Macaca mulatta: one gene and its partners. The protein of the gene in region 1 interacts with the protein of each later gene in a pairwise test. Links are inferred from orthologs where the notes say so. Each region holds a gene or a part of one and is shown in the gene's direction. Other genes may lie near its edges. The genes, in order: UBE2E3, RNF111, CNOT4, ATXN1, RNF167, MUL1 and TRIM39.

The links.
Region 2: the proteins of UBE2E3 (region 1) and RNF111 interact in a two-hybrid assay, tested with the Homo sapiens proteins (2 studies listed by BioGRID and IntAct). The link is inferred for Macaca mulatta from reciprocal best matches to the Homo sapiens genes UBE2E3 and RNF111.
Region 3: the proteins of UBE2E3 (region 1) and CNOT4 interact in a two-hybrid assay, tested with the Homo sapiens proteins (3 studies listed by BioGRID and IntAct). The link is inferred for Macaca mulatta from reciprocal best matches to the Homo sapiens genes UBE2E3 and CNOT4.
Region 4: the proteins of UBE2E3 (region 1) and ATXN1 interact in binary tests that used the Homo sapiens proteins (3 or more experiments, as listed by UniProt). The link is inferred for Macaca mulatta from reciprocal best matches to the Homo sapiens genes UBE2E3 and ATXN1.
Region 5: the proteins of UBE2E3 (region 1) and RNF167 interact in a two-hybrid assay, tested with the Homo sapiens proteins (2 studies listed by BioGRID and IntAct). The link is inferred for Macaca mulatta from reciprocal best matches to the Homo sapiens genes UBE2E3 and RNF167.
Region 6: the proteins of UBE2E3 (region 1) and MUL1 interact in a two-hybrid assay, tested with the Homo sapiens proteins (2 studies listed by BioGRID and IntAct). The link is inferred for Macaca mulatta from reciprocal best matches to the Homo sapiens genes UBE2E3 and MUL1.
Region 7: the proteins of UBE2E3 (region 1) and TRIM39 interact in binary tests that used the Homo sapiens proteins (3 or more experiments, as listed by UniProt). The link is inferred for Macaca mulatta from reciprocal best matches to the Homo sapiens genes UBE2E3 and TRIM39.

What each region holds. Positions count from the first base shown.
Region 1 is NC_133417.1:85,943,689-85,947,929, forward strand, and holds part of UBE2E3 (ubiquitin-conjugating enzyme E2 E3), read left to right. Parts: intron 1-1,547; coding exon 1,548-1,680; intron 1,681-4,241. UniProt on the Homo sapiens protein: Accepts ubiquitin from the E1 complex and catalyzes its covalent attachment to other proteins. In vitro catalyzes 'Lys-11'- and 'Lys-48'-, as well as 'Lys-63'-linked polyubiquitination.
Region 2 is NC_133412.1:36,396,915-36,401,155, forward strand, and holds part of RNF111 (E3 ubiquitin-protein ligase Arkadia), read left to right. Parts: intron 1-2,788; coding exon 2,789-3,137; intron 3,138-4,241. UniProt on the Homo sapiens protein: E3 ubiquitin-protein ligase. Required for mesoderm patterning during embryonic development. Acts as an enhancer of the transcriptional responses of the SMAD2/SMAD3 effectors, which are activated downstream of BMP.
Region 3 is NC_133408.1:175,335,734-175,340,505, reverse strand, and holds the start of CNOT4 (CCR4-NOT transcription complex subunit 4), read left to right. Parts: upstream 1-1,641; 5' UTR 1,642-1,855; intron 1,856-2,584; 5' UTR 2,585-2,670; intron 2,671-4,772. UniProt on the Homo sapiens protein: Has E3 ubiquitin ligase activity, promoting ubiquitination and degradation of target proteins. Involved in activation of the JAK/STAT pathway. Catalyzes ubiquitination of methylated RBM15.
Region 4 is NC_133409.1:166,774,969-166,778,248, forward strand, and holds part of ATXN1 (ataxin-1), read left to right. Parts: intron 1-2,660; coding exon 2,661-3,191; 3' UTR 3,192-3,280. UniProt on the Homo sapiens protein: Chromatin-binding factor that repress Notch signaling in the absence of Notch intracellular domain by acting as a CBF1 corepressor. Binds to the HEY promoter and might assist, along with NCOR2, RBPJ-mediated repression. Binds RNA in vitro.
Region 5 is NC_133421.1:6,494,427-6,497,824, forward strand, and holds the end of RNF167 (E3 ubiquitin-protein ligase RNF167), read left to right. Parts: intron 1-64; coding exon 65-152; intron 153-338; coding exon 339-429; intron 430-662; coding exon 663-768; intron 769-900; coding exon 901-994; intron 995-1,865; coding exon of another isoform or gene 1,866-1,937; intron 1,938-2,027; coding exon 2,028-2,108; intron 2,109-2,184; coding exon 2,185-2,486; 3' UTR 2,487-2,696; downstream 2,697-3,398.
Region 6 is NC_133406.1:220,470,418-220,474,389, forward strand, and holds the end of MUL1 (mitochondrial ubiquitin ligase activator of NFKB 1), read left to right. Parts: intron 1-301; coding exon 302-422; intron 423-1,051; coding exon 1,052-1,781; 3' UTR 1,782-3,003; downstream 3,004-3,972. UniProt on the Homo sapiens protein: Exhibits weak E3 ubiquitin-protein ligase activity. E3 ubiquitin ligases accept ubiquitin from an E2 ubiquitin-conjugating enzyme in the form of a thioester and then directly transfer the ubiquitin to targeted substrates.
Region 7 is NC_133409.1:152,701,006-152,706,005, reverse strand, and holds the start of TRIM39 (E3 ubiquitin-protein ligase TRIM39), read left to right. Parts: upstream 1-1,604; 5' UTR 1,605-2,187; exon of another isoform or gene 2,188-2,757; intron 2,758-2,842; exon of another isoform or gene 2,843-2,887; intron 2,888-4,090; exon of another isoform or gene 4,091-4,110; 5' UTR 4,111-4,244; intron 4,245-4,515; 5' UTR 4,516-4,522; coding exon 4,523-4,975; intron 4,976-5,000.

The sequences.
Region 1 (4,241 bases):
GAGTTCTCCATTGGCCAAGCCTGCGATAATTTGGGCATCAAAATAATTAAAGGCAGTAATGACTTACAAAGCATTGGGAAAAAAATGAGACCATACCAATAATACTTACTTCTGTACATACGTACAGGCAGTAGAAAGGGCTCAAGGGGTAACTGTTAAGTGTAGAGAAAGTTCTAGAATTGGAAAATCATGATTTTATTACTGTAACAGAATACCTGAGACTGAGTAGGTTATAAGGAAAAGAGGTTTATTTGGTTCACCTGATGGGCATCTGCATCTGGTGAGGGCCTCAGGCTGCTTCAGCTTGCAGTGGAAAGGCAACCATCAAATGCAAAGAGATCACAAAGCAAGAGAGGAAGGAAGAAAGAGAAACCAAGGAAAGCCACTGTTTTTAACAGTGAGTTCTCTTGGGAACTAGTTCATTTTTGCTAGAGTGAGGACTCACCCCTGAGGGAGGGCATTAATTTATTCATGAGGGATCTACCCCTGTGACCCAGACACTTCCCAACATTGCCACATTTGGGGGTCAAATTTCAACATGAGTTTTAGCAGGGACAGATCAAACTATAGCGATCACAAATGGATGCTTAATATTGGGAAGAAATTTTGATGAGAAGCAGGATATTTGCCTGGTCTTAAAGTGTCTGTCCAAAGATTGCTTATTGGTTGCAGGGAAAAAATGGTAACTAAACAGTAGGAAAATTGGATAGCACTATGTCTGGATGATGAAACTTAACATCACCAATGAGGTACAGCTAGATGTTGTGTGCCTCCAAATGTGATACCATGAGAAGGACACATCACATACTATTTGAGCCAGAAATGCATTACATGAGTCAAATCATGAGGAAACATGGAAAGCTCAAAATGATGAGCATTTTTAAAAAAAGAAGACTAGATTCTGCAAAAAATGTTAATGTTACAAAAGTTAAAGGCAGAAAGGACCCATATTAAAGGAGAATAAAGACACAGGAAATACATGGTTCCAAGACTGGGTCCTGCATCCGGAGAAAAATTAATTTTTTAAAAGGATATTACAGAATCAGTTGACAACATTATAATACAAATTGCAGTTTAAAGAATTGTATTCATGTATTTACTGAAATTGTAACTGTATTGTGATTTATAGGAGATTATTTTTAGGAAATGCACGCTGAAGTGTTTATGGGGAAAAGGCCATAAAGTGTGCAACTTTCAAATGACTGAGAAAAAAGCGTGTCTGTATGCATGCTTGCAGGTTTAGAGGGGTGTGTGTTACGGGGAGAGAGAGGAGCAAATGGGGCAGAGCAGAATGCTAATGGAGACTGGGTAAAGTTATACCGATTTTCTTTGTACTTTTCTTGCATTTCCTCTGTAAGTTTGTAATATTTCCAAATAAGTTCTTACACACATGCACATGCAAACACATTGGGGCTTATTTCTTTTATACTTATTTCACTTCTTACTGCTCTAGATTGCTAATTTACCTTTAACACTTCCCTGGTTTTAGGATATTAACATGAATTGCTAATATATGTACATACTGATTTTTAATTTCTTTTAAATAGTGCTGGGCCTAAAGGAGATAACATTTATGAATGGAGATCAACTATACTTGGTCCACCGGGTTCTGTATATGAAGGTGGTGTGTTTTTTCTGGATATCACATTTTCATCAGATTATCCATTTAAGCCACCAAAGGTAAGAAGCTAGAAGTGCATTCTTTAATATTTAATCCTCCTTCTCTAAATTTAACTGGGGTTATTCTAAAACTTAAATGTGTATTGATGCAATTATTTTTATTTCATTGCTTTTCATGGATTGATATGGAAAATTTCATGTAATCAAGAATTTTAAAACTGGAAGTAATTGACTCCTTTCACAAATAATTTGTAATAAGCAGAAAGTTTAATTCTTAATTGTAAATAAAACTATACCTTGCACCTCAGTAAAGCAGATAAATTGTATGCTTATGAGGGAAAATATCCTATGAACCTTCATTAATACCTTAATTAATAATACCTTAATTAACTATTAAGGTATTAATGAAGATATTAGGATAAAAAGTAAAACTGACAGCTTCCAGAAATAAGTGTTTAATAATGTGAATTTTGTGCTGAATACCTTATCTTTATAGATAAGCAAAAACTTCATAGCCAAGAAGAGGGAAATGAATAATATTTAGTAAACTCATTTTGTACCTTCTGTGGGTATGATGTAGTAATGGAAACAGAATGCCTCAGTTTTGTTGGCTCTGAGTTCATTTGAAGTATGAATTAGATGGATAACAGAGAACGGGGTGAGTTGTGCCTTGTAATGACCGTCAACTTTGCAAAGCTTAAACATAACAGTTACTTGAATGGCTCCCACCCGTAACTTCTGTTTCTACGATGGTCAAGTCAGCAGGTAAAAACCATTGGAATTAAGTATGAGCATTATTATGCTTTTGTTACAGAGATGTCTGACATACTAGAGGAAAGTATATTTTCAAGTCCATAGCCCTTAACTATGGTGAAATGTTTTTCTTTCCAACATGGTAACTTTTGTTCTCTATACTTTATAAAGTTTATGTTGCAATGTATACCATTTAAAATTTATGTAGCCTGTGTGTATGTGTGTATGTGCACATAAACAGATTTATTTTGTGAATAAAAGAGGGTTATTTCTCAGTAATGAATCATCTAACAAGGTAGCAAGAGTTCCATCTAGTGGTATTTACCCCAAACCGCAGACACCGTTTACTCTCAGTTACAGCTGTTAGTGTTTAAAGTGCTTTAACCGTGTGGTCCCATCAGAATGTAAGATCTTGAAATTATTTTTGCATATGGGGAAGATTAATTGAAGAAAAAGACTCAAGTTTTTCTGACACCTTTTAATGGAAAATGGCAATTGACTAATATAAGAATTTCACAGTATATAGTACTGTATATGATTTGCCAATAATTTTGATTAATATAATGATTATAAATTTAGCATGTTAGTTTTTTGCTGAAATTGCAATATATTAAATTTCTAATTCTTTGGTGTTAGTTCGCTCTGTTGCTAAGATATACAGTATTAACCATTATTAAGATCTGTAGTTGGACAAGTGAAAAATGATTTCTGGTGTGATCTTGGTATTTGGAACAATTATTTCTCTACAATGCTAAATCTTTTTGAAGTTTGGAAAAAATGTTGAGCTTCTTGAAGGATAATAAATATTTAATAGAAATCCGTTCATGAATGCTACTCTGTTCAGTAGTTATAACTGAAAATATATTTGTAAATCACATGTGTATTGAGTAGTAATGTCAGTGATCTGAACATAAATTATTTCTATATTCTAGAACAGCATTAATGGAAATATAGTAAAATCTACATGTATAATTTTAAATGTCCTACTAGCCACATAAAACGTAAAAACCAGAATTTTAATACTATATTAGTTAACCCAACATATTCAGAATATTGTCATTTCAACATGTAATCATTGTAAGAGTATTGTTAATGAAATCTTATACATTTTCTTTTTGGTACTAACTCTTTGAAATCTGGTATTTATTTTACAACACTTTTAGTTTGTTTCAATTCACTTTGCCACAATTTAAGAGCTGTATATGCACATCTAGTATATGCTGTATTGGTCAGAGCAGTTCTGGAAGGGCATTCTCTCTTCCTCCCCCACTAAACTAGTGTGGTGCTCCCCCACCCCCTCCCCATCATGCATTCTTTTCAGAAAGACACTTTTGAGAGCATTTAATATTTTTTTCCCAGATTCCACTTTTGTGCCCACAGTGCACTGCTAGTTTCAAATGATCAGAAATTTTTTTTTTTTCTCAGCAACTCCAATTATGAATTAACTATCCAATTAGTGTTTGTGATTGTTTTGAGACTTGGCAGTGTTTGTTCTTATGATTTATCTTCTTCTCTCACACATTTCAGGGATATATTAGTTTCCTTTGTCCAGTAGCTAAAAACCTTGTTTATTTTAATATTTTAGTCTAACAAGACAGTGAACCAGCTGTAGAAATAAAAGGCTAAGAAACAGAAAGGTGGTAGTGTAAATGATTTTACCAACCTTCTTCTAAATCCTCCAGTATTTTCTAACGTTTGGTAGGAAATTAGCTGAATTGATACTGATCTTTTCTACTAAGAAACTGATGTAACTTTTATGTTTTAAAAAAAATCTTCATCAGTTCCTCTTACCTTTGGCACCAAAATATTTCTCTTCCTCACTTTGTCTTTCTGTATGTGTGTGTGCACACACAGTTGTATATGATGCA
Region 2 (4,241 bases), on another chromosome or scaffold:
ATCACACCTGTGAATAATCCTTGTACTCCTGTCTGGACAACATAGTGAGAACCTGTCTCTTAAAAAAAAAAAAAAAAAAAAAAAGACCAGGCACGGTGGCTCACGCCTGTAATCCCAGCACTTGTGGGGAGGCCGAGGCGGGTGAATCACCAGAGGTCAGGAGTTCGAACCCACTCTGGCCAACCTGGCGAAACCCTGTCTCTACTAAAAATACAAAAATTAGCTGGGCGTGGTGGCAGGCGCCTGTAATCCCGTCTACTCAGGAGACTGAGGCAAGAGAATTGCTTGAACTCGGGAGACAGAGGTTGCAGTGAGCTGAGATCGCACCACTGCACTCTAGCCTGGGAGACAGAGCGAGTCTCTGTCTCAAAAGAAAAAAAAAAAGAGAGAGAGAGAGAGGTACAGGTAAGGCTACTTATGATTAATCATAAAGCAAATGGTCTACACTGTAAAGCAAAGCAACTGGTCTACACTGTAAAGCTATAGGAATGTAGTGAGTAAATGTTGGAACAAATCATAATACTACATCTGCAAGTGATACGTTGAATGTCTAGGAAACAATATCAAGACTTTTTGTTTTTTTAAACTGTTGGGAACACAAATAGAGGAAGGGAAAGGGTTTTTGGGAATGTAGACTATGTCATTCTTAAAATGATCAGCAACCTGTTTTGTTTAGATAAACAGTGAATTAAAGTGATGTGTTAAGAGTAGTTAAATAAATGGACTCATTCTGAAACAGAACTTCTTGTTTTGTAATATTTGTGAATATTGTCTTGTATAATGATTACACAAATATAACACTTTGAAACTAGAAAAAATGCTGTGAATTTGAGAAAGGATAGTTAACAATCATAAACATAGTGTATTCATTTTTTATGATTAAGAGCTACTGAGCTTTGTGCCTTCTCAAAGAGTAAAGCATTGATTTGAAAACAGTTCGAAAATTGGTTTAAAAATTTGTCTTGCAACTTTTAAAAATTAGATTTGTTGAAAGTTTCCTTTAAGTACATACAAACAAGGCATACTTTAAAAATATAGTTGAGTTGTGGTTACCTAACTTCTGCCCTTGCTGAATGAATCAAAAGCATTAAAAATTGAAAACTCTTCTGTAATGAAACTAGAGAATGGCTGTTGCTGTATATCAGACTTCCAAGAACATTTTCCAATAAAATGAAATTTGGATTGAAATCTAAGGAAACAAACTTTTTTTTTTTTTTTTTTTTACATGTCAAGTAGATGCACATCTCTAAGAGTAAGGAAGATGTGTATTCCTCAGAGGGATTTTTCAACAGTCACTTTGAAACATAAAGATGTAGAATGAAGAAATGCGAGGAACCATCTTATTAAGGACTTTACTTCCATATTTATTGGGAAACAAATATGCCTCCTTCATCTTAATGTAGCACAGGGATGATAACATGGGGTAGGGGGAGAGAGAGAGAGACAGTTTGGAAAAATGTTTACACCTATTATGACAGAGCTTCCATATATGCAAAGAATACTTATATAAGTCAATAAGAAAAAGGTGAATAATACAATAGGCTAAGCATGTAAATAGATAATTCTGAGAAGAAATGCAAGTGGTCAAGAAATAAAAGATTTTTCTCAGATTGGCATTTATTTTAAAAATTTAGTGGTAGTGAGCTGGGCGCAGTAGCTCACGCCTGTAATCCCAGCACTTTGGGAGGCCAAGGCGGGCGGATCACCTGAGGTCAGAAGTTTGAGACCAGCCTGACCAACATAGAGAAACGCCATCTCTACTAAAATACAAAAAAAAATTTGTATAGGGATGGTGGCGCATCCCTATAATTCCAGCTACTTGGAAGGCTGAGGAGAATCGCTTGAACCTGGGAGGCGGAGGTTGCACTGAGCCGAGATTGCACCATTGCACTCCAGCCTGGGCAACAAGAGTGAAACTCCATCTCAAAAAAAAAAATTTAGTGGTAGTGTGGGGGTAATCAGGCCTTCATGTGTACTCCTTTTTTTTTTTTTTTTTTTTTGAGATAGAATCTCACTCTGTTGCCCAGGCTGGGGTGCAGTGGCATATTCTCGGCTCACTGCAACCTCCACCTCCTAGGTTCAAGCAATTCTCCTGCCTCGGCCTCCTGAGTAGCTGGGATTACAGGTGTGCATCACCACGCTCAGCTAATTTTTGTATTTTTAGTAGAGACGGGCCTTCGCCATGTTGGCCAGGCTGGTCTTGAACTCCTGGCTTCAGGTGATTCTGCCCACCTTGGCTTCCCAAAATGCTGGGATTACAGGTGTGAGCCACCGTGCCCGGCCCTTCCTGTGTACTCTTGATGGAAATATTAATTATGGCAACCTTTTGGAAAGGGTATTTTATCAACTGGCATCTAAATTTATTTTTTTCTTTCTGTCCCACAACTACTTACAGCAATTTATGCTACAGAAATGATCTGTATGTATGTGTGTATACATGTATATAAATGAAAGAGTGAGTGCAGGAGGGACCACATACACAGATATTTATCATAGCATTTGGGTTTCTTTTTTATCAGTGGGGATTTTGTCAGTACATTTTGGTATATTCATATAATAGAATGTTGTGAAACTGTGAGTGAAGTTAAATTATAATATATATTTACATAAGATATCCAAGATTATTGTAAGAAGGGAGCAAGTTGCTTGAGCAGTTGCTTGAATACTTGATAAAGTATTCATAAAAATATCTACTAATATCTTTAAAAGTACAATAGGAATGTATAATAGCAATATATGTTCAACTGCATGGTGCCTGTGTAACATACTTGAAATATTTTTCTTGCAGATGCCTCTTTGACAAGGCCACTTCATCATCAAGCTTCTGCCTGCCCGCATTCTCATGGAAATCCCCCTCCTCAGACTCAGCCTCCACCTCAGGTGGATTATGTTATTCCTCATCCCGTACATGCTTTCCATTCTCAAATATCTTCTCATGCAACATCTCATCCTGTGGCACCCCCACCACCAACTCACTTAGCCAGTACAGCTGCACCAATCCCTCAGCATCTTCCTCCTACACACCAGCCAATATCGCACCATATTCCAGCCACCGCACCTCCAGCACAGCGACTGCATCCTCATGAAGTGATGCAGAGGATGGAAGTTCAAAGGAGGAGGATGATGCAGCATCCAACGTATGTTTTACATTTTTAAAAAGAAAGTCAAGCTTGCTTTTTCTTCTACTTCCATTGGTCTTTACAACTCTGAAATCTAACTAGGCATGGTGGCATGCACTTGTAGTCACAGCTGCTTGGGAGGCTGAGCCAGGAAGGTTGCTTGAGCCCAGGAGTTTGAGTCCATGTGGGCAACACAGTAAAATACTGTTTTTTGTTGTTGTTGTTTTCTTTTTTTTAAAAAAGAACAAACAACAACAACAACAACCAAAAAAAAAACACCACGAAGTCTTTAGAAATAATGTAACTTGTAACTGTAAGTTGGGTGAGGCTCATGCCTGTAATCCCCAGTTGCTCAGGAGGCTGAGGCAGGAGGATAATTTGAGCCCAGGAGGTCAAAGCTGAGCTGTGACTGTGTCACTGCACTCTAGCTTAGGTGATAGAGCAAGACCTTGTCTCCTTTAACAACAATAGAAAACAAAAGATAGGTGGCTGCAGTGACTCACACCTGTAATTCCAACACTTTGGGAGGGCAAGGCAGGAGGATCACATGAGCCCAGGAGTTTGAGACCAGCTTGGGCATAAGGAGACCTCGTCTCTACAAAAAAAAGAAAGTAGCTGGGCGTAGTGGCATACTACTGTGGTCTCAGCTACTCGGTAAGCTGAGATGAGAGGATCGCCTGAGCCCAGGGGGTCAAGGCTGGAGTGCAGTGGTGTGACCATAGTTCACTGTGTCCTTGAACTCCTGTGCTTAAATGATCCTCCCATGATCATGCCACTGCACTGCAGCCTGGGTGACATAGCAAGACCCTGTCTCTCTCTCTCCCCAAAAAAGTAACTATACTAAATCCTTATACTAAATCAATAAGAAATTGATTCTTTGCTAACCAGAATCTTCCCCTGCCTTTTCCTAAATTGTATGTGTTGAAAAAGCAAGTTTATACCAGATTAGTAAAATCTGACCAGTTTTACCATGTGACCCAGGGTAATTTCTTTATGCAAACCAATTTTAAAAAATACCCAGACTAGTCTGATGCGAACTAATATTTTGTCTGTTTCTGCAATATCACATAGTAAAAATCAGTGTTAAAATTGATGATTCTGAGGAACGAGATCTAAAGATAT
Region 3 (4,772 bases), on another chromosome or scaffold:
AGGAGTTTGAGACCAGCCTGACCAACATGGTGAAACCCTGTCTCTACTAAAAATGTAAAAATTAGCCTGGCGTGATGGCACGTGCCTGTAATCCCAGCTACTCGGGAGGCTGAGGCAGAAGAATCGCTTGAATCCGAGAGGCGGAGGTTGCAGTGAGCCGAGATCGCGCCACTGCACTCCAGCCTGGGTGACCGGTGAAACCCCTTCTCTACTGAAAAACACAAAAAATTAGCCAGGCGTGGTGGCGGGCGCCTGTAGTCCCACTACTTGGGAGGCTGAGGCAGGAGAATGGCGTGAACCTGGAAGGCGGATCTTGCAGTGAGCGCAGTGAGCCTAGATTGCACTCTAGCCTGGGAGATAGAGAGAAACTCCGTCTCAAAAAAAAAAAAAAAAAAAAAAAAAAGGAAAAAAGAAATGAGGGCTTCTTCTTATGACATTGAGTTCATAAATTTAAAACTGCAACCTCTTTCCCTACTCCCCTTTCCTAAGTTTTTAAAATCGGTTATGACATACTATGCATTTTAATCACGTATTTTTTAAAAAATGCCTCCTCTCTCCTCTTCCTCATCCCAACATATCACTAGGATGGGGACAGGGAATTTTTTCTATTTTGCTCACCATTGTGTTCTCAATATATAGAAGAGTACCCGGCGGCCAGGAGGAGCTCATTGAGTATTTGCTGTATGAGTGGGTGAAGAATACATGCAATAAGCAAAAATTACTGCTTCGAGCGCCGCTTTCACCAGAGTTCTGGGATGCAAACGGGAGCGACCAGTACATTGACTGACGTTTGTGACTGATGATTCTTCAGTGCTCGTAGAGATTGTGGCTGCATTCATTGTTCTTGGGGATGTGCCGATGTGTGTAGAGTTTGTCAACTTGCACACAGCTGTGCTGGCAGGACAGCGAACTAACACTAATTCGCACAGAGGTCTGCAAATTCTCAAATTCACATCAACCGAAGCACGTTATTGTAAGTGCACGGGTCTTCCGTTCTCTTGGGTAATCTGCACAGAACAATTTAGTATATTTCTTCACCGGCGATTTTACAGTGAAGAAGGTATCAAGGGTGGTGGCCCCCAAATGCGCAAGGACAGGGAAATGAATTAAACGGGCGTCTGTTTCCTCCTTGTTTCGCAAACAGACGCCAAGTCTGTATCAAATTCTTACCCTAGATCAAATCCCGCGCTCTTCGTACCCCAACCTGCCTCCACCTCCACCCCGCCCCCTTTAGATATCCCTGGTGGGCGGGGCAGAGAAGAAACATTCCGGGCTCCCAGAAAAATTGTCTAGCCTCGCCCCAGTCTTGGGGTCGCACATTTCCAAAAACACCGAGGACACAGAATGACTAGTGAAAACCGCCGACCAAATGACATTGAAGTAGCACACGCGCGCAGAGAAGGAAGCAAAACACGAAGAAAGGCTCAGTCCAGCAGCCACGTGAGGTGGGCGATCTCCTCCGCCCTCTGAGAGAGGACTTCAACTCCCGGCGTGCCCCTGGGCGGTTACCCTCCGAGGACTCCAACTCCCAGGGTGCTGCGGGAGCGGCCACCGCAACCTCCCACTCAGCCGCCCGCCGCTCCTCCCGCCCCTCCCCCGCCCCTCCTGGCCGGATCGGCGTGCGCCTGCGCACGGGAGGCCGGAGGAGTCTTACCCTAATGTAAGATGGTGGCCCGTCTGGCTGTGGAACCCACCGAAAGCTGAGAGTCTCTCTCTCAGCCGTAAAGGTCGGACTCACTGAAGCAATCAGGCCCGGTTCTGAAGAGTTTTTTCCCCGACGCTCGTTCGGTGGTTTCTTGTGAGGACGCGGCAGCGCGTGGAGTCGGCTGAGGGAAAAGCGAGGCAAGGCAGGCGGGTGAGTCTATGCGGGGCTGGGCTTAGGGGAAACCCGGGGCTGACCGGCTACGAGAGAGCGGAGGCTTCGCTGGGACTGTACAGGCCGCACCCCCCTTTCTCCCCACCCCCCGCCTCATCTTCACCCTCCTCCTCCTTGGTCTTCTTCCTCCTCCTCCTCTTCCTCCCTCTCCTCTTTACGCCACAGCAGTTATCAGGAAAAGCGAGCGGGTCAGAAGGCAGCGCGGCGGCAAGCAGCGACTCTCCTTCGAGAATTTCTTTAACTGGGGAGCCGAGGCGGCTTTTGGTCTCCAGCTTTGCCCCCTGCATTTTCATAGGGGCAGGATTCTTAGGTCTCAGTCCTCCTTGTTTCCCCAACCCCCTATTCCCTGTCTGACGTCCTTTCCCACTGGCCCCCGTCTCCCAAGACCAAAGCCATCACTTCCACTCTGACCCGTGTTGCTGCTGCTGCTCGTTAATCCCACTGCTCATTGCCCACCCGTCCTGCTGCTTGTTTTTTGCTCCACTGCTACCACTCTGGAGTTAGCCTTTGCCCCCCTTTGGTGCTTGCATTCAGCCCACAGTGTATCTGCCACACTAGGGCTTCTTCCGATTTGCAGTCTTTCCTTCCACCACATCTGTCATCTTAAAGCTGCCCCTTAAGTGTCTAGATTATGCTTCTGCTCCTGCTAACCCACCTGTTTCTTAGCCTTCTTGAGAATTGTCCGTTCCTTCCCTCTTTCCTGTACAGATCCTTTCCATATACACTTCCAGAAAAAGGGATGCCCCGTGGTGGCCCTTGAAAAGTAAAGGAAGTTGGGAAGTGAATGAAGTGAGGTCGGATAGTATTAAACGTTATGAGTAAAGATCTTTTATTCAGTCTACTCCGGAGGGGACCGTTTTCGTTTTGCTTTCAGTGATCTATTTGTCGCTTATTCGCTCTGTTGTGTTAGGACGTGGCTTTTTTCTTTTCTTTTTTTTTCATTTTGGACCGGTTTTTACCATGCTACTAAGCGTTCTTTGGATTGTCTCTGCCCAGGACACTTCGTGTGGGCTCTGATTTATACTAATATTAACCCCAGCAATTCAAAATAAGATAAATTTGGCGCACATACAGAATTCATCTGTGAACTCCGCTAGCAAATATAAGTGATATTTTGATTATATGTGGGTTATATGTGGGTTCTGTATTGAGACTTGATTTTTGACTGAGTTTTATTGATGTTCAGCTTAATTGATGACATTTTATTTATGATTTGAGTGGAAATTTCCTTTCCAGTTATTATCAGATTTACTTCTTATTTTTGGATTTGGGAAGTTCTCTTGACATTTCTAGGATGATAGTTATCTGAATAAATTGTCTTCTCTTGAAAATCCATTAGGTATGTATGCAAAAGAAAAATCGATGTTTTTATATAAACCTGTTTCTCGTATTTTTCTCATAGAAAAGAAGGGGGCTGGGAAAAGAATGACAAAGCTGTGCACATACATGCATTTGGTAGAACTCACTGTCATTGTTATCTACAGTAAAAAGCAGAAAACTAGAAGCAAGAGGTGGCTTATGATGTCCATGTTTTGGTGAAAGCAAAATTAAGATATACTGACTAATGGTATAATGGGAAGAAGCAGCCCTGGCTATAATCAGACCACTGTGAGATAAAGAATTACCAGAAAAGCAACCAGGATTACATAGTGCAAATACATACATCCCAAGTTTGAACATGACATATATGACATTGCATTCTTAAGATATATGTAAAAATGTTGAACATCAGTGACAGTCTCATGTGGCAGTCCATTAGTGGGTTATTGTAATTTTTACACATTTTACCTGTAAAATTTGGAATCTTAACATTTGGCATTATGTTCACTTGATTGTGATAAATGGTCTGTTTTACCAAATGTAAACTAAGGTTAGAAAACCTGTCTATAAAACTTTTTTCTTTCAGCCACTTAAGCCCCAATTTGGGGGACCAAATAAATACTCTTAGAACTGCAAGCAATTTATATAGCAAACTTTGTCCTAAGTTACAACTTGAGTTTTTTTTTTTTAAATCGCTTACATTTAGTTTATCAGAGGAGTGTATTTAATAGTTGATCTTTAACTCTAAAAAATATACTTTTTGTTGTTGTAATACACTGGTGGAGAAGCTTTCCACTTTGAACAATCCTAACACAGGTTTAGAAACTCTTGGCAATCATACTTGGCTGAATTGTAAGCAGTTGAGTTCTAGGAGAGGACTGTTTGTCTGGTAGAAGGGAGTAAATGATTTTAATACGTCTTTTTTTTTTTTTTTTTTTATTTAAATGGTGTTTGTCTCACGAAATATTTTCTCAAGTAATTTTCTCCCCTCATACTTTTTGCTTGCAGTTACCGAATTCTTCATTTCGGCCCTCTGAAGTCAAAAGGAATTTACTTTTGTATCTTTAGTACGTTTAAAGAAGACATCTAAAGTTCTTTAGTATTTTGATAAGAAATAGGGAGCTGAGATTTCTAAATATTTTTGTGTGGTTTAAGTTTTTTGATCTAACGTTATGAACGCTACAGCTTCATACTTTCATGGTTTCTTTTGATAATTTGGAATACTTTCTACCAGGTTCAATAGTTGAATTCTTGAGATCAATAGATTATTTCTGTAAGAATGTTTCGAATATGAATCGCTTAAAGTTGGCCTATTATAAAATTAGGATGAGACAGTTATACTCAAATAACAAAGTACAGAAAAATAAAATTGTTTTTGTATTGCCCTTCAACTTGAGTCTAAAAGGGAGTACTAGCGATAACTTGCAACTCATTACTTTGTTAAAGAAAGAGGGTGTTGCCAGAGGATGAACTCCTAGCTTTAAGGGAGTTTTATTTTAAAAATGATTTTGTGTGCTCTAAAGGAATAAAAAAAATCTTATCAGTTTAAGCAGTTTGGATTTAGAAATCTTCCCTT
Region 4 (3,280 bases), on another chromosome or scaffold:
CTGTCTCTTACCCTCTCCTCCATATTAACCATCTTTTTGTCTCTATGTTCACTCTGTGGAGTCTCTTCTAAAGCTCTAATTAGAGAATCCACTTCATGAATTCTTTCTTAATCCACGTCTATTCAACTGGAAAACTCATTGCATTCTTGATTTCAATGGGTGTATATTTTAATTCTATAATTCTCATAGATCTTTTTAAAAATTAATTAATTTTTTTAGAGACAGGGTCTCACTCTGTTGCCCAGGCTGGAGTGCATCTTGCGATCATAGCTCACTGCAGCCTCTAACTCCTGGGCTCAAGATCTTCCTGCCTCAGCCTCCTGAGTAGTTGGGACTACAGGCGCGCATCACCACACTAGGCTATTTTTTTTTTTTTAATTCTGTAGAAACAGGGTCTCACTTTGTTGCCCAGACTGATCTGAAACTCCTGGCCTCAAGTGATCATCCCCGTCTCAGCCTCCCAAAGTGCTGGGATTACAGATGTGAGCCACCATGCCTGGCTTCATGGATCTTTTAAAAACAGGTCCTAGTTTCCTATCAAAATTCTCAAGCTGTCTTTAATCTTCTTGAATATTGTAAGCATAGTCATTGTAAAGTCTGTATGTATGACTCTATATGAGAAGCCCTGGAGCATCTGTTTTTAAGATCTGATATTTTATTAGTGTTTATACATGTTATCTGGTCTCCTCATGACCACCAACTTCCCCTTTTTAAATTGAATGCGTTTATTTGCAAAATTGTGAAAATAATTCAAGACCTTAATCCAGTTTTAGGAACTCAGATGAGTCAAATCTGAGCTTGAGACCTTGAAAGGCCTGTTGGCTTGTGGTTCACTGTCACCTCTAAGGGACAGTGCTTTGGGGTCACAACTGAAAAGAATGGGGTTCACCAGAGAGCACCCTCCCTTGATGTACCCTGAACTTCATTACCTTTTCCCTATGCTCTTAACATTATCAAAAGTCCAGTTGGTTTCCCAACTGCTCCACTTTGGAATGTTCAGGTGTCTTCAGGAGATAACAGGCCCCTAACACCAGCTTCAACTGCCTGGGCCATCATGCTTTCCTGATCCAACCCAGGGACTTTGTGTGTGTGTGTGTGTGTGTGTGTGTGTGTGTGTGAGAGAGAGAGAGAGAGACAGAGAGAGACAGAGAGAGACAGAGAGAGAGGCAGAGAGAGAGAGAGAGAGACAGAGAGATGGAGTTTCGCTCTATCTCCCAGGCTGGAGTAGAGTGCTGCGATCTCGGCTCACTGCAGCCTCTGCCTCCTGGGTTCAAGCAAGTCTTCTTCCTCAGCCTCCCGAGTAGCTGGGATTATAGGCACCTGCCACCACACCTGGCTAATTTTTGTATTTTTAGTAGAGACAGGGTTTCACCATGCTGGCCAGGCTGGTCTCAGAATAAAGTGGTGCAATCTTGGCTCACTGCAACTTCCGTCCCCCGGGTTCAAGCGATTCTCCTTTCTGAGTAGCTGGGATTCTAGACGCCTGCCACTACACTTGGCTAAGTTTTGTATTTTTAGTAGAGACGGGATTTTGCCATGTTAGCCAGGCTGGTCTCAAACTCCTGACCTCAGATGATCCATGCGCCTTGGCCTCCCAAAGTGCTGGAATTACAGGCATGAGCCACCGCACCTGGCCTTTTTACTATCTTATTTGCTGTCCAGTACTATAAGAAAAAAAGTTTAAACATTTTGTCCAGAGTTTTTAAATTTATTTGTTTGCTTACATTTTTGTTCAGAGTTTTTAGTTGTCCTCAGAAGGAGGGTTGGTCCAAATTACCTAGTCTACTACATCTAGAAAGGACATTGAAAATTGACTTTTTTTTTTTTTTTTTTTTTTTTTGAGACAGAGTCTCACTCTGTGGCCCAAGCTAGATGGCCCAGTGGCATGATTTCAGCTCACTGCAACCTCTGCCTCCTGGGTTCAAGCAATTCTCGTGTCTCAGCCTCCCAAGTAGCTGGGATTACAGGTGCCTGCCACCACACCTGGCGAATTTTTTTTATTTTTAGTGGAGACAGGGTTTCGCCATGTTGGCCAGGCTGGTCTTGAACTCCTGACCTCAAGTGATCCACCCACCTTGGCCTCCCAAAGTGCTGGGATTACAGGCATGAGCCACTGTGCCCTGCCACCAAGCATCCTTTCAGGGGCTGGGGACTCAATGATAAACACATCATGCCTGCCTCTTGGAACTCACCTACAGTCTCACTCTGATCCCTGTTTAGTCGTGTCCTGTATGATAATAACAGCTGTCCATTGAGCTCATAAAATCTAAGACCATGCTGGGCTTCTGAGCCACCCGCAGAGCCTAGCTCGGTGCTGAAAGCTAAGTGGGTGTTCTGTCATTGCTGGGGTTTGATTGACTGGTTCTAACAGAGACCAGCTATAGAGCTAACACTTGGTGGAATATTTTGAATATTGATGGTCTTTTCACTGGCTTCTGTCTATGGTAAGTACAGGTACAACCCAAACTGAAGAGCCTCATTTATAGGGTGTGACTGGGGGAGAGGGAGGTTTGCAAACTGAGTCATTTTTCCCCCATTCGGCCTGTGTGTGTCTATGTGTGTATGTGTGAGTTCATACGTGTGTGTGCGCATAAAATCAAACAAGAATAAAATGTTTTCATTTGTCCCCTTCCTCTCTCTGTCTCTCCCTGTTTCCACAGGTCAGCGTTGAAGTTTTGGTAGAGTATCCTTTTTTTGTGTTTGGACAGGGCTGGTCATCCTGCTGTCCGGAGAGAACCAGCCAGCTCTTTGATTTGCCGTGTTCCAAACTCTCAGTTGGGGATGTGTGCATCTCGCTTACCCTCAAGAACCTGAAGAACGGCTCTGTTAAAAAGGGCCAGCCCGTGGATCCCGCCAGCGTCCTGCTGAAGCACTCAAAGGCCGACGGCCTGGCGGGCAGCAGACACAGGTATGCCGAGCAGGAAAACGGAATCAACCAGGGGAGTGCCCAGATGCTCTCTGAGAATGGCGAACTGAAGTTTCCAGAGAAAATGGGATTGCCTGCAGCGCCCTTCCTCACCAAAATAGAACCCAGCAAGCCCGCGGCCACGAGGAAGAGGAGGTGGTCGGCGCCGGAGAGCCGCAAACTGGAGAAGTCAGAAGACGAACCACCTTTGACTCTTCCTAAGCCTTCTCTAATTCCTCAGGAGGTTAAGATTTGCATTGAAGGCCGGTCTAATGTAGGCAAGTAGAGGCAGCGTGGGGGAAAGGAAACGTGGCTCTCCCTTATCATTTGTATCCAGATTACTGTACTGTAGGCTAAATAACACAGTATTTACAT
Region 5 (3,398 bases), on another chromosome or scaffold:
GGCACCAGGAATGAAGACAAGTCAGGCCTATGATGGCTCCTTGTCCTCTGCCTTGTCTTCCTAGGTCCTAAATGCCCAGAAGGCTGGATATGGTGCCGCTGTAGTACACAATGTGAATTCCAATGAACTTCTGAACATGGTGTGGAACAGTGGTAAGGCTGGAGGAATCTATACAGCTGGGCTTTCAGTAGGACCCAGAGATGGTGGGAAGGCTGAAGGCTTCAGGAAAAGAAGCCAATCCTTTAGGTGGGTTGGGGCGAAAGTGCCAGATGCCAGGGTTCCCAAAGGATTTGAGTAGAAGGTTGTGAGTCCCCAGAGTAACACCTTGATCCCTGCAGAGGAAATCCAGCAGCAGATCTGGATCCCATCTGTATTTATTGGGGAGAGAAGCTCCGAGTACCTGCGTGCCCTCTTTGTCTACGAAAAGGGGTAGGACATATGCCTCCTTCCCATTCTTCCTTCAGCAAGCAGTTCCATGCCAACCTGGAGCCCAGGCCTCATTACCCGAACCATTCAGCCTCCTGTCCTTCCTTCCCTGCCTCTTTGACTTTCTTCCCATTCCCATCCCCACCTATGGGCTTTGTCCAGAGCCAGTTGCTTTGTCCCTCTGTTTTTCTCCCTTTGCCTTTCTTTCCCTGCTGAGACTGGTCGTCCTTTCCCAGGGCTCGGGTGCTTCTGGTTCCAGACAATACCTTCCCCTTGGGCTATTACCTCATCCCTTTCACAGGGATTGTGGGACTGCTGGTTTTGGCCATGGGAGCAGTAATGGTGAGTAGCTGAGGGAACATGATGGGAAGCACTGAGGCCAGACTGGATCTGGAGTTGGGAGATGGGAGTGGCTTGTCCTAGATTGTCTAGTTTTATTCCTAAGCCTTGTCCATCCACCCCCTCTTCCACCAGATAGTTCGTTGTATCCAGCACCGGAAACGGCTCCAGCGGAATCGACTTACCAAAGAGCAACTGAAACAGATTCCTACACATGACTATCAGAAGGGTGAGGGGTTAGGGGAGGAGAGGGTTTTTCCCACCGTTTACCTGGTTCTGAAGGACTTTGAGCCCAGAAGATAGGGTATACAAAGATGGCAGTGGCTGGGCACAGTGGCTCACGTAATCCCAAGTGCCTGTAATCCCAGCACTTTGGAAGGCCGAGGTGGGTAGGTCGCTTGAGCCCAGGAGTTTGAGACCAGCCTGGGCAACATGATGAAACAAAAAAATCCCACCACTTTGGGAGGCTGAGGCAAGTGAATCCCTGGACCCCAGGAGTTCCAGGCCAGCCTGGGCAACGTGGTGAGACCCCATCTCTATAAAAAATAACAAAAATTAGCTGAGCATGGTGTTGTGCGCTTGTAGTCCCAGCTACTTGGGAGACTGAGAAAGGAGAATCACTTGAACCAGGAAGGCGGAGGTTGTAGGGGGCTGAGATTGCACCACTGTGCTCCAGCCTGGGCGACAGAGGGAGTCCCTTTCTCAAAAAAATAAAAGTAATAAAGATGGCAGTAAGAAATTTTCAGCTTGAGATGCTGTCTTGTCTTGTTTTTACCCATAAATACAGTGAAGATGGGAGAGATATAAAGCAAAGATGATTAAGTGAAATAATTGTGGGAAATAATAGAGGGACAGACTTTGCTTATGGGGCATGTGGAGAGAGCAGAAAAATGGGAGGAATGGGGGAGGATTCAGTTAGAGAAGGAAGAAAGTGGTACTGTGGGGCTGGGGCTTTAGGCCCTGGGGCCTCCAGTGCCCGTATAAGGCTATGGCAGAAGCCCTGCCCATTTCCGTCCCTTCCACTCCCTATCTCCACCCTCACACCTCCCCAAAAACCACTTCCCTTCTTACCTCTGCTTCTCTTTGCTTGTCCCTTTTAGCCCTAAATTCTTCCATGTTCTGCCCTGACCTTATCCTGCCTACCTGTCTTAGCTCTTCCACTGGCTTTGTAGGTGAGGGAAAATTTTCGCAAGGCTTTAAAAGCCTTAGCCCTGGGTCACGATGGCTCAGTGAAGGACTAGATTATTTTCTTTCTGTCCCAGGAGACCAGTATGATGTCTGTGCCATCTGCCTGGATGAATATGAAGATGGAGACAAGCTGCGGGTACTCCCCTGTGCTCATGGTGAGGCCCTCACTGCCTGCCCATGCCCCTCTGCCACTGGCAGCCACCAGGTGCTTCACCTTGTTCCTCTCTGCAGCCTACCACAGCCGCTGCGTGGACCCCTGGCTGACTCAGACCCGGAAGACCTGCCCCATTTGCAAGCAGCCTGTTCATCGTGGTCCTGGGGACGAAGAGCAAGAGGAAGAAGCTCAGGGGCAAGAGGAGGGTGAAGAAGGGGAGCCAAGGGACCACCCTGCTTCCGAAAGGACCCCACTTTTGGGTTCTAGCCCCACTCTTCCCACCTCATTTGGTTCCCTAGCCCCAGCTCCCCTTGTTTTTCCTGGGCCTTCAACAGACCCCCCACCCTCTCCTCCCTCTTCCCCCGTCATCCTGGTCTAATAACCCTCTACACGTACACTTCTGGTGACCTATTTGCACAGACCGTCTTCTTCCCTCCAGTCTTCTAAGTTGAGGGATAGGGGACATTCCATCCTAAGCTGCTCCCTTACCCACACCTATCCTTTTGAGGGGCATTGGGGTGGGGCTGGGGCAAGCAAAGGGACTGGGTCTTCACTTCTTGGGCTAATAAAATTGTTTTTTGTGGACTAAGGAAGGGTGAGATAATTTTTAGGTGAACTTAACCCTTTGGGGGAATCACCCCTTTAGCCATAAGGAGCAAGAGAATGCTGAGACACTAACCTATAGTCATGGGGACAGCCCCAGCAGGCATTTGCTATGACTCAGGGGGAGCCCCACCCACAAGGATGACTCAACTAGCCCTGCCTTGCCTGCAGGCCTGCACCCATTCTCTGGTCCAGATGGCTCTATTCCATTATCCACCAATTTAACCAGCACACTGAGGACTTAGGCCTGGAAATGCCACTGTGGAGGGGCAGGGCCACCTGGCCAGAAGCTCAAATTCTTGCACCTTGTAGTACCTCAACCTTCCTGCTCCCAAGCCATGATAAAGGAGGCAAGTCACAGTGCCTGTCCCCCATTCTGACACCCAAGCTCAAATCACACAGCACCTTGTTAGAATCTTTTTTATTCAGAAAAAAAAAAAAAAACCCAAAAAACAAAGTTTTCCAACCACACACAGGAGGGGTATGGGTAGGGGGAGGTGTCTGTCCATCCAGCCCTGGTCCCCAGCCCATGTGGTTTTGGCAGCAATAAGGGGTATGGGGTAATGGCCTAAAAAATAAAATGGTGTATGTGTATGGGGGAGGAAAGGGGTGCAAAGCTGTGGGGAGCGGTGAAGGGGAAGGGACAGACGAGGTCAGTACTGGGAGCGCCGAAGGTGGGAGGCCATTT
Region 6 (3,972 bases), on another chromosome or scaffold:
CATAGCTCACTGCAGCCTCAAACTCCTGAGCTCAAGTGATTCTCCTGCCTCAGCCTCCCAAGTACCTGGGACTACAGGCACATGCCCTGCTAACTTTAATTTTTTGTAAAGATGGAATCTCACTGTGTTGACCAGGCTGGTCTCAAACTCGTGGCCCCAAGTGATCCTTCTGCCTTGGCTTCCCAAAGTGTTGGGATTATAGTTGTGAACTACTGTGCCAGACCAGAAAACACATTTTAAACTATCTGAAAGGAGAGGGCAGAAAAATTCTTTAGAAATAATAGAATTTGTGTCCACTTAGGAGCTGTACGGTCTGTTAAAGAAACTCTTAACAGCCAGTTTGTGGAAAACTGCAAGGGGGTAATTCAGCGCCTGACACTTCAGGAGCACAAGATGGTGTGGAATCGAACCACCCACCTTTGGTATGTATCACTTCTCCACTGGCCAAAACCCTTATAGTTGGTCTATTCAAATGCCGGGGTCCTGGGTGCTGTTGCGTTGTCTTCAGCTTCTCCTGAGAGAGGTTGAAGACCAGTCTCTTAATGCAGGTCATATTCTTGTGTGTAGCCTGTGGGCCTCCTACATCAGAATCACCTAGGCATCTTGTTGAAATGCAGATTTCTGGGCTCCCTTCCAGACTTATCCAACCAGAATTTCCAGGATCAGGCACCTGGAATCTGTTGTTAGTTACACTGAAGTTTGAGAACCACTGAATCAGTGATTTCAGTATTTCCTAAAATGCTTTTGTGCCATCTCATGAAATACCAGTTTTCCAGCTGGTCCTAGTGGGTTCTGTTTTAGATGTTTGTTTTACAGTGGAAAGGGAAATGAATGGTTTCCGTAGTCTGTGGCGGTGTTTGTTGCCCACTGAGATCGCCCCAGGACCTAAAAATGGAGCCTCCTTGTTAGGAGGCACCTGTAGATAGTGATCTTACTGTCTTGTTCTGGTTACTTCAGACTCTATGCTGTCTTCTGCATTTAGTTGATCTCCAGCTCTGCCTGGGTGTTTGCTGTTTGCTACCCTGTATCTTTAGTTCTCTTATTCTTCTAGGAATGATTGCTCAAAGATCATTCATCAGAGGACCAACACAGTGCCCTTTGACCTGGTGCCCCACGAGGATGGTGTGGATGTGGCCGTGCGAGTGCTGAAGCCCCTGGACTCAGTGGATCTGGGCCTAGAGACTGTGTATGAGAAGTTCCACCCCTCGATTCAGTCCTTCACCGATGTCATCGGCCACTACATCAGCGGTGAGCGGCCCAAAGGCATCCAGGAGACCGAGGAGATGCTGAAGGTGGGGGCCACCCTCACGGGGGTTGGCGAACTGGTCCTGGACAACAACTCTGTCCGCCTGCAGCCGCCCAAACAAGGCATGCAGTACTATCTAAGCAGCCAGGACTTCGACAGCCTGCTGCAGAGGCAAGAGTCGAGCGTCAGGCTCTGGAAGGTGTTGGCGCTGGTTTTTGGCTTTGCCACATGTGCCACCCTCTTCTTCATCCTCCGGAAGCAGTATCTGCAGCGGCAGGAGCGTCTGCGCCTCAAGCAGATGCAGGAGGAGTTCCAGGAGCATGAGGCCCAGCTGCTGAGCCGGGCCAAGCCCGAGGACAGGGAGAGTCTGAAGAGCGCCTGTGTCGTGTGTCTGAGCAGCTTCAAGTCCTGCGTCTTTCTGGAGTGTGGGCACGTTTGTTCCTGCACCGAGTGCTACCGCGCCTTGCCAGAGCCCAAGAAGTGCCCTATCTGCAGACAGGCGATCACCCGGGTGATCCCCCTGTACAACAGCTAATGGTTTGGAAGCTGCACAGCTTGGCATGGTAGCTCCCCTGCCCCCTTTTCAGGGATTTTTATCTGAAGGCCTTTGAAGGAGCAGTGGCGGGGGTAGCTGTCACCTCCAGGTATGATTGAGGGACCCACGCCTCCAGTGGCAAGATGCTGCCTTTCCCGCCTGAATGGGGACCCTGTCCACGTGGGGCCTGAGAATCAGAGCCTTGCCCTGGGAGGCTGCCGTGGCGTCTCCTCCCAGGAGCCAGATCCGTGCGAGTGTGACTGAAAACGCCTCATCGCTTAGGCACCAAAGTCAGTGATCAGCAGCCCTTCTGTTCCTGTGTCTTCTGTTTTTTTTCTGGTGAATTGTTGCTTGCTGTGGACTTGGTGGAGGACTCAGTCAGAGGGGAGGAAAGGCTGGGCCCTGAGTACAACGGATGCCTTGGATGCTGCCTCCAAAGAGGTTCTGCCGCAGCTTTTCTTCTTTTTCCTCATGCCCCGGGAAATAGTCTTTCTTCAGAATTGTCAGGCTGGGCGGGTCAACTTGTGTTCCTTTTCCCTCACCGGCTTGCCTCTTAAACGCCTGCACATGTGTGTAGAGGACAAAAGAAAGTGAAGTCAGCACATCTGCTTCTGCCCAAATGGTTGGGGCCCTGGGCAACAGATTGGAGAGAGATCGCGTGAAGGGCAGTTGGTCAGGCAGCCCTCCTGGTTTCGCCGCTGGCCCTGATTTGAAGTGCTACCACTTGGGAAAGCTCAGGGGTGGTCCTGGTTTTCCCTCCTGGAGAATGAGGCGCAGAGGCTTCGCCTCCCGAAGGACACAGTGTGGATGCCGCTGGCCTAGTGTCCTGGCCTCACAGCTTCCTTGCAAGGCTGTCACAAGGAAAAGCAGCCGGCTGGCACCCTGAGCATACGGCCTTTCAGGGCTCCCTCATCCAGCCTGTCGCAGTGTTGACATCTTGGTGTACTCATGTTGCTTCTCCTTTTGTTACCCCCTCCCTGTATTACCATTTGCCCCTCACCTGTCCTTGGTGAGCCTTTGAGTGCAAGACCAATGGGGCTGTCTTCCCCCGCCTCTGAGCAGTCGGAGGTCACATACACAGCTTTTTTTTATAGCCCTTTTCTGCCTTTGAATATTCATATCTCGTCCTCCTTTGTGCAGGTGAGGAAGGGGTGCCGTCAGGGGCCGACACTAGTACGATGCAGTGTCCAGTGTGAACAGCACAAATTAAACATGTTGCAACCAAGTGCTAGCCTGTTGCTTGTTAAAAAGAGTTAAATGGCTAAGCCTAAGCGTTCTCAGGATGGGATTGAATCCCCGCTGCAGTGGAGAGAAAGGTGGGGAGTTTGAGGCCTCTGTGTCCTGTTCCTTGGCTGTAGTGGTTTGGGCCTCCCCCAGATGGTGTGATGCGGAGGCAGGGATGCCTGCCCCCAGGGAGGAATCTGGACAGCCCGCCCGCAGGTTATAGCTGGACTTGCTGACCGTCTTTGAAGTCTGTCCCAACAGGCTACAAACCAGGGCAGTGAGATTTCACCTGCTGGGAGAATGGGATGGAGATGGGGCACTGGGGGACAGCAGAGAGGACATGAGCATTTAGCAATACCGCTGTGCAGGAGGTCCTGTGCTGCGTGCTGTTTCACACTTATTTCAGAGTGAGTGCATCCTCACAAACCCCTGCAGGCCGAGTCCTGGTGTGTCTGCTGTATGGGAGAGGAAGGAGGCCTGGAGAGGGTGCGTTCACTGGGCTGAGGGCACAGATATAGCAAGTCACGGGTCTGAATTTAAACCCCAAGCTGTTTCTAAAGTCCTCATCTTCCTGCTCACTAAATGTGCGGCCAGTAAATTCCTCAGTGCTAACAGGAACACTCAAAAGAGACGTGTTCCCCAAGTCCATAGAGGCGAACTGGTGGCCACACTAGAGCAGCAGGTGAAAGTTGGGGTAAGAATCCACTTGCCAATATTGAGTCCGTCCAGTGAAGTACGAAGACCCTGGTTTTACACAAGGTGCTGGAGGGCGGGGCAGGGTGAAAGGCCCCTGACGGGAATGGCCTCTTTGTGCACCTTGAAAGTCTCCGTCCCCTTTTCATCGTCCTTCTGGCACTTAGCCTGTAATGGAAGGTGAATGAACTGGCCCAGGGGGATTTGCATGGTAAGCTGTCTGAGTTCAGCCCTTGGCATAGCTTTCGTGGGTAAATGTGATCAAAGACATTAA
Region 7 (5,000 bases), on another chromosome or scaffold:
TTGCGCTTCATAATTTTATAGTTTTACCTAGGCAGTCTCCATTTTTTCCTTCCATATTCAGCGTAAAATCCCCGTTTTTTTTTTTTTTTTGGAGACGGAGTCTCGCTCTGTCGCCCAGGCTGGAGTGCAGTGGCCGGATCTCAGCTCACTGCAAGCTCCGCCTTCCGGGTTTACGCCATTCTCCTGCCTCAGCCTCCCGAGTAGCTGGGACTACAGGCGCCCGCCACCTCGCCCGGCTAGTTTTTTTGTATTTTTTAGTAGAGACGGGGTTTCACTGTGTTAGCCAGGATGGTCTCGATCTCCTGACCTCGTGATCCGCCCGTCTCGGCCTCCCAAAGTGCTGGGATTACAGGCTTGAGCCACCGCGCCCGGCCCGTAAAATCCCCTTAATATCAGTCTCTAGGAAAGCTCATTCTTCATAATCCTTAGAATTGGACCTCCTCTTGTTAATTTCCTTAGTCTAATCACAATCCTCCTGGTTATTTACAAACCGAACGCCAGAAAGGAGGGTTATCAACATCTTATGCGCCACAAATTAACAAATCAAAACCAAATCTCACTCTCCCTCCGAAGCCAAGGCTAAGGAGGCTCACCGCCCAGTTAGTGGCTTTCAAACTACCCTTACAAGTGAGGCATCTTGTGAATTAGAACAACTGCTGCTGCTAAAATCCCTAATGGCTACATAGCAATGTGAAAAAAAGGTATCAAATGTAATTTTCTCAAATTTAATCCTCTTCAATTGTTGGCACAAAAAAAGGAATAATAAAGGTAGACAACTGTAATTAGCATGTGTGATCCCAAATCTTTATACCTTAGATACTGGATATTTTCTACAAGTAAATAGTTTCTGGCTCCCAAGATGAGAGGTTAAATAATGCAGGGTGTTTGTAAACAGCAGCACAACTTACACCGGAAATTAGGGCACTTTCTCACCAAGGAGAGTACATCAAAATTTGCTCATCTCTTTCAATCAATGTTCTCCAGGACTAGTGCTGGGGGCGGGGAGGCGGAGCAAGCTATCTTTTCTACCAGCCGTGTCACACCCCTCCTAGCACTAACCCCTCCTCCTCAGCCTCTTCACACCTCTACCCACTACTAACCCCTCCCCAGCCCCATCACCGCTTCCCGGGCCCCTGACACCTCTCCCAGCATACTCTTCCTGGCCTCATCACCTCACCCACTTCCTCCAAAATCACAGGACCTGCTAAGCTTCCAGCAGCAAGCGAGCAAAGCAGGGAGGCTGTAATGTAAAAGTCCGCAGTCCCTACACAAACACTATCTGCTCCTGCGGAGAAACTCAAGTCACAGCCCCAGAAGAAAGAACAGGCCTGGGCTCTCACCCAGTTAACCAGCGTTTATCCAGCGCACGTGTTGCGGTCGGACCCCATGCGAAGGAGCTAAGGACACAAAGGTGAGCAGCAGAGTCGCGGTTCCAGCTCTCTCCCGGCTCCCACTCCAGCGGGGTAGGTAGATAATTTCGGTAAACTTCGCCAAGCAGGGGCAGGACAAAGAGTATTTGAAGTCTACCCGGGGGAGAACTTACCTAATCCTTGAATGTTAAAAGGCTAAAACTCCACCAGTCGGAAGTGACGTGCCAGCTGAGCCCCGCAGGTCCGCCACGTAATTGGCCGCCGCCACAGCTAGCCACCCTCTCCCCGGACTGGCCCGAAGAGAGGAAAAGTGTGGAAGTCCACAAGCCGCCCTCGCCCCGCCCTCTTCGTCGACTTTCAGCTGCACTGGGGAGCGGCGGCGCCTGGCCAGAGCCGGGGCCTGGAGCCTGGACGGGACAGCCTCGCCGGCCGGGGCGCCCGTCCAGCGCCCTGCGGGCCATGGGCTTCAGCGCTCGAGCACGCGCATGCGCGGGCCTCTATCTCCAGAGGATTCCTCGGGTCACCTGGACGCCAGCATCTCAGCCACCTGCCCCTCTGGGTCCCTTCTTGTCCTTGATTCCTCCTGCTGGTTCTCATCGCCAGCCCTCCTCCACCTCCTCCTTCCGCAGCCACCGCTAGACCCGGCCGCTGCTGCCTGCCGACACCCCAGCTTCCACTGACACGAGCCTCGGCGCGGCTTCCGCTTCCGGCGAGTATTGTGTGTCGCGCCGCGGGGCGGGGGCGAGGGGAGGAGGAAGGAGGGAGGCAGCGCTCCGGCGGCTCCGCGCCCCGCACTCCCGGACCCGAAGCCGGGAAGGTAGGTGCTGTCCCGCCGCCGCGCCCGAGTCTGGGGCCTGCCCCCGCCGGCCGGCTCCGCAAGTCGCGTCCCAGCGCCCCGCGACTGCGTCACCGGCCCCCCGCACGTAACCACAGCTGCCTCCGCCCGCCTCGGGCCCGGGCGGACGTTTTGCCGCCCCGGCGACGTCAGCGCGTCCGGCGTTGCTTGGCTACCCCGCCGTTCCCCCGTCCCGCTGCTGCTCACCTCCCCGGGTGAAACTCTGACGCAGTCACCGCGGGTCTCGGCTGCGTCATAGCGGCGGGCATCCCACCTTCACGTCACACCTCTTCCTCACCTGGACACGCATCCCTCCCTACCCTGCCAGCAACGACGTTTCCTCTTTCCCCTCTCCAATCCCCCTGCCCCAGATCTGGCGGAAGAAAATGGAGACGGGGGTGGGACAGAGTTGTGGACAACCTCTCAGGACAGGGTCGCAAGGTGGGACCCTGAACAGTGGTTTAAACAAAATGAGATCGTCCCTGAAGTTTGCCCTTCAGCTGAGACACAAGGAGTAGAGGGAGACGAAGGACTAACCCAGAGGCACTCAAGGTCTCACTATGACTGTAGTTTAGAGTCCTCTCCATTCTTCCCGAACCCTTTCCCCATTTCTTTCACCACTTCTTTGCCAGTCTAGATCTGTCCTGGTGCCTTACTGTGCATACAGTTCTACTCATCTCAGGTGAGGAGGCCACCTAATTTGTAAAAGACTGAGGAAGGGGTAGGGTCACCACAAGTCAAAGTTGGATTTCCACAGGTAGAGAGAAATCATCTGATTGAACTTCTCTCCTATTGCTGACAGAAAAAATTCAAGTCCAAAGAAGTTATCAGCTCCTACTCCAAACACATTTGTGTGTGCCAACAATATATACAGGAACAATTGTTGTTAACCTACCTCATTACATGGCCACTTATCTCTCAGCACATAGATTTACCAAATTTCCTTCCTTCCAGTAGGTCCCTAGAGAAGGATGGGGGTCAGGAGGAGAAAGGGTTATGGGGATAGATACATCAACTTACCCATGGCTAAAAGTATCGACGTTTTAAGATGGAGTGGGGGACCAGCGTTGTGTTTTATAAATCTCTCTTATGCATTTCCAATTCTTCTGAGGCTGCACTTGAGGGAGATCTCATTGCCTCTTTTCTGTCTCTTAATTCCCAACCACTCCAGAACCTGTTAGTTGGAGACACAGTATGCCCAGGATGTTAGTTATCAATAGTTATATTGAAGGATTCCAGTCACTATAAATAGACTTGTTTCTTTACAAGAAGTTGTTGGCCTGAGCTCAGTAATGTACTATTTAATATAGTTGCCATAATTTATCAGTTTTCAGCAGTTCTGAGTGTCCAAATGAACACAATAGAAATGGAATGTTGCATGAAATATGTTATTCCAAGAAGAGAGCAGACTTCCTTTAGGCTAGTCTGATGGATAAAAGGAAGAATAATTTCAGATTTTCCTGGAAAGAGAAGGTTGCCTTTGCTTCATTCATTCCATTTGTTAGCCTTTAGAACACTGGTATCTAACCTTTTGAATGGGAGGACTCTTTTTACTTATCTGTGGTGGCTGATAAAACAAAAATTATGCATGGACCTTTTGTGGTGGCTGATAGAACAAAAGTTATGCATGGACTTCTTTTTTTTTTAGCTTATCAGCTGTCATTAGTGTCAATGTATTTTATGTCTGGCCCAAGATACTTTTTTTTCCAATGGGCCCAGGGAAGCCAAAAGATTGGATACTGTGGTTTAGAAGAATGAGAGAACAGTGTCAGAGAATCAAGCTTAGACTCCAGTGGATTCATCATAAAGCCCTTATAACATTAAACTTTAAAATATGCTTAATTTAAGAAATGTTAATATTTTTATGACATTTTTTACTTCTCAGATTCCTTTCTTATCTATTAGAAACGTATGTCAAACGAGGATACAGTGGTCTGGAACTATTGGTTCTAAGATACAAGTGGAATGAACCTGGATCAGGAGAAGTATGCTGAGCTAGAGTTGAAGGAAGCTGCTCTTTCTAACAAGAGAAAGCAGAGGTAAGAGACAAGATAGATAAATTGGGGGTTGTGTGTCAGTTTACTAACAAGAAAAAAAGGTTAATGGCTGGGAGTCACAAGTTTTGGAAATGGAGAAACAAAGAGATTGAATTGATTGAAAGAGAAGATGGAGAATAACAAGATTGGGCAAATCTGGAGTTAGGACTTAACAGGGATAAATGTTGGGCCAGGGATGCAAAAAAAAAAAAAAAAAAAAAAAACACCTCCAATTAATATTTTTATTTTTTCTGTCCTCTTCCCCACTCCCAAGTTAAATTATGGCAGAGACAAGTCTGTTAGAGGCTGGGGCCTCTGCAGCCTCTACAGCTGCGGCTTTGGAGAACTTACAGGTGGAGGCAAGCTGCTCTGTGTGCCTGGAGTATCTGAAGGAACCTGTCATCATTGAGTGTGGGCACAACTTCTGCAAAGCTTGCATCACCCGCTGGTGGGAAGACCTAGAGAGGGACTTCCCTTGTCCTGTCTGTCGAAAGACATCCCGCTACCGCAGTCTCCGACCTAATCGGCAACTAGGCAGTATGGTGGAAATTGCCAAGCAGCTCCAGGCCGTCAAGCGGAAGATCCGGGATGAGAGCCTCTGCCCCCAACACCATGAGGCCCTCAGCCTTTTCTGTTATGAGGACCAGGAGGCTGTATGCTTAATCTGTGCAATTTCCCACACCCACCGGGCCCACACCGTTGTGCCACTGGATGACGCTACACAGGAGTACAAGGTGGGGAAGCAGACACATGATGTCA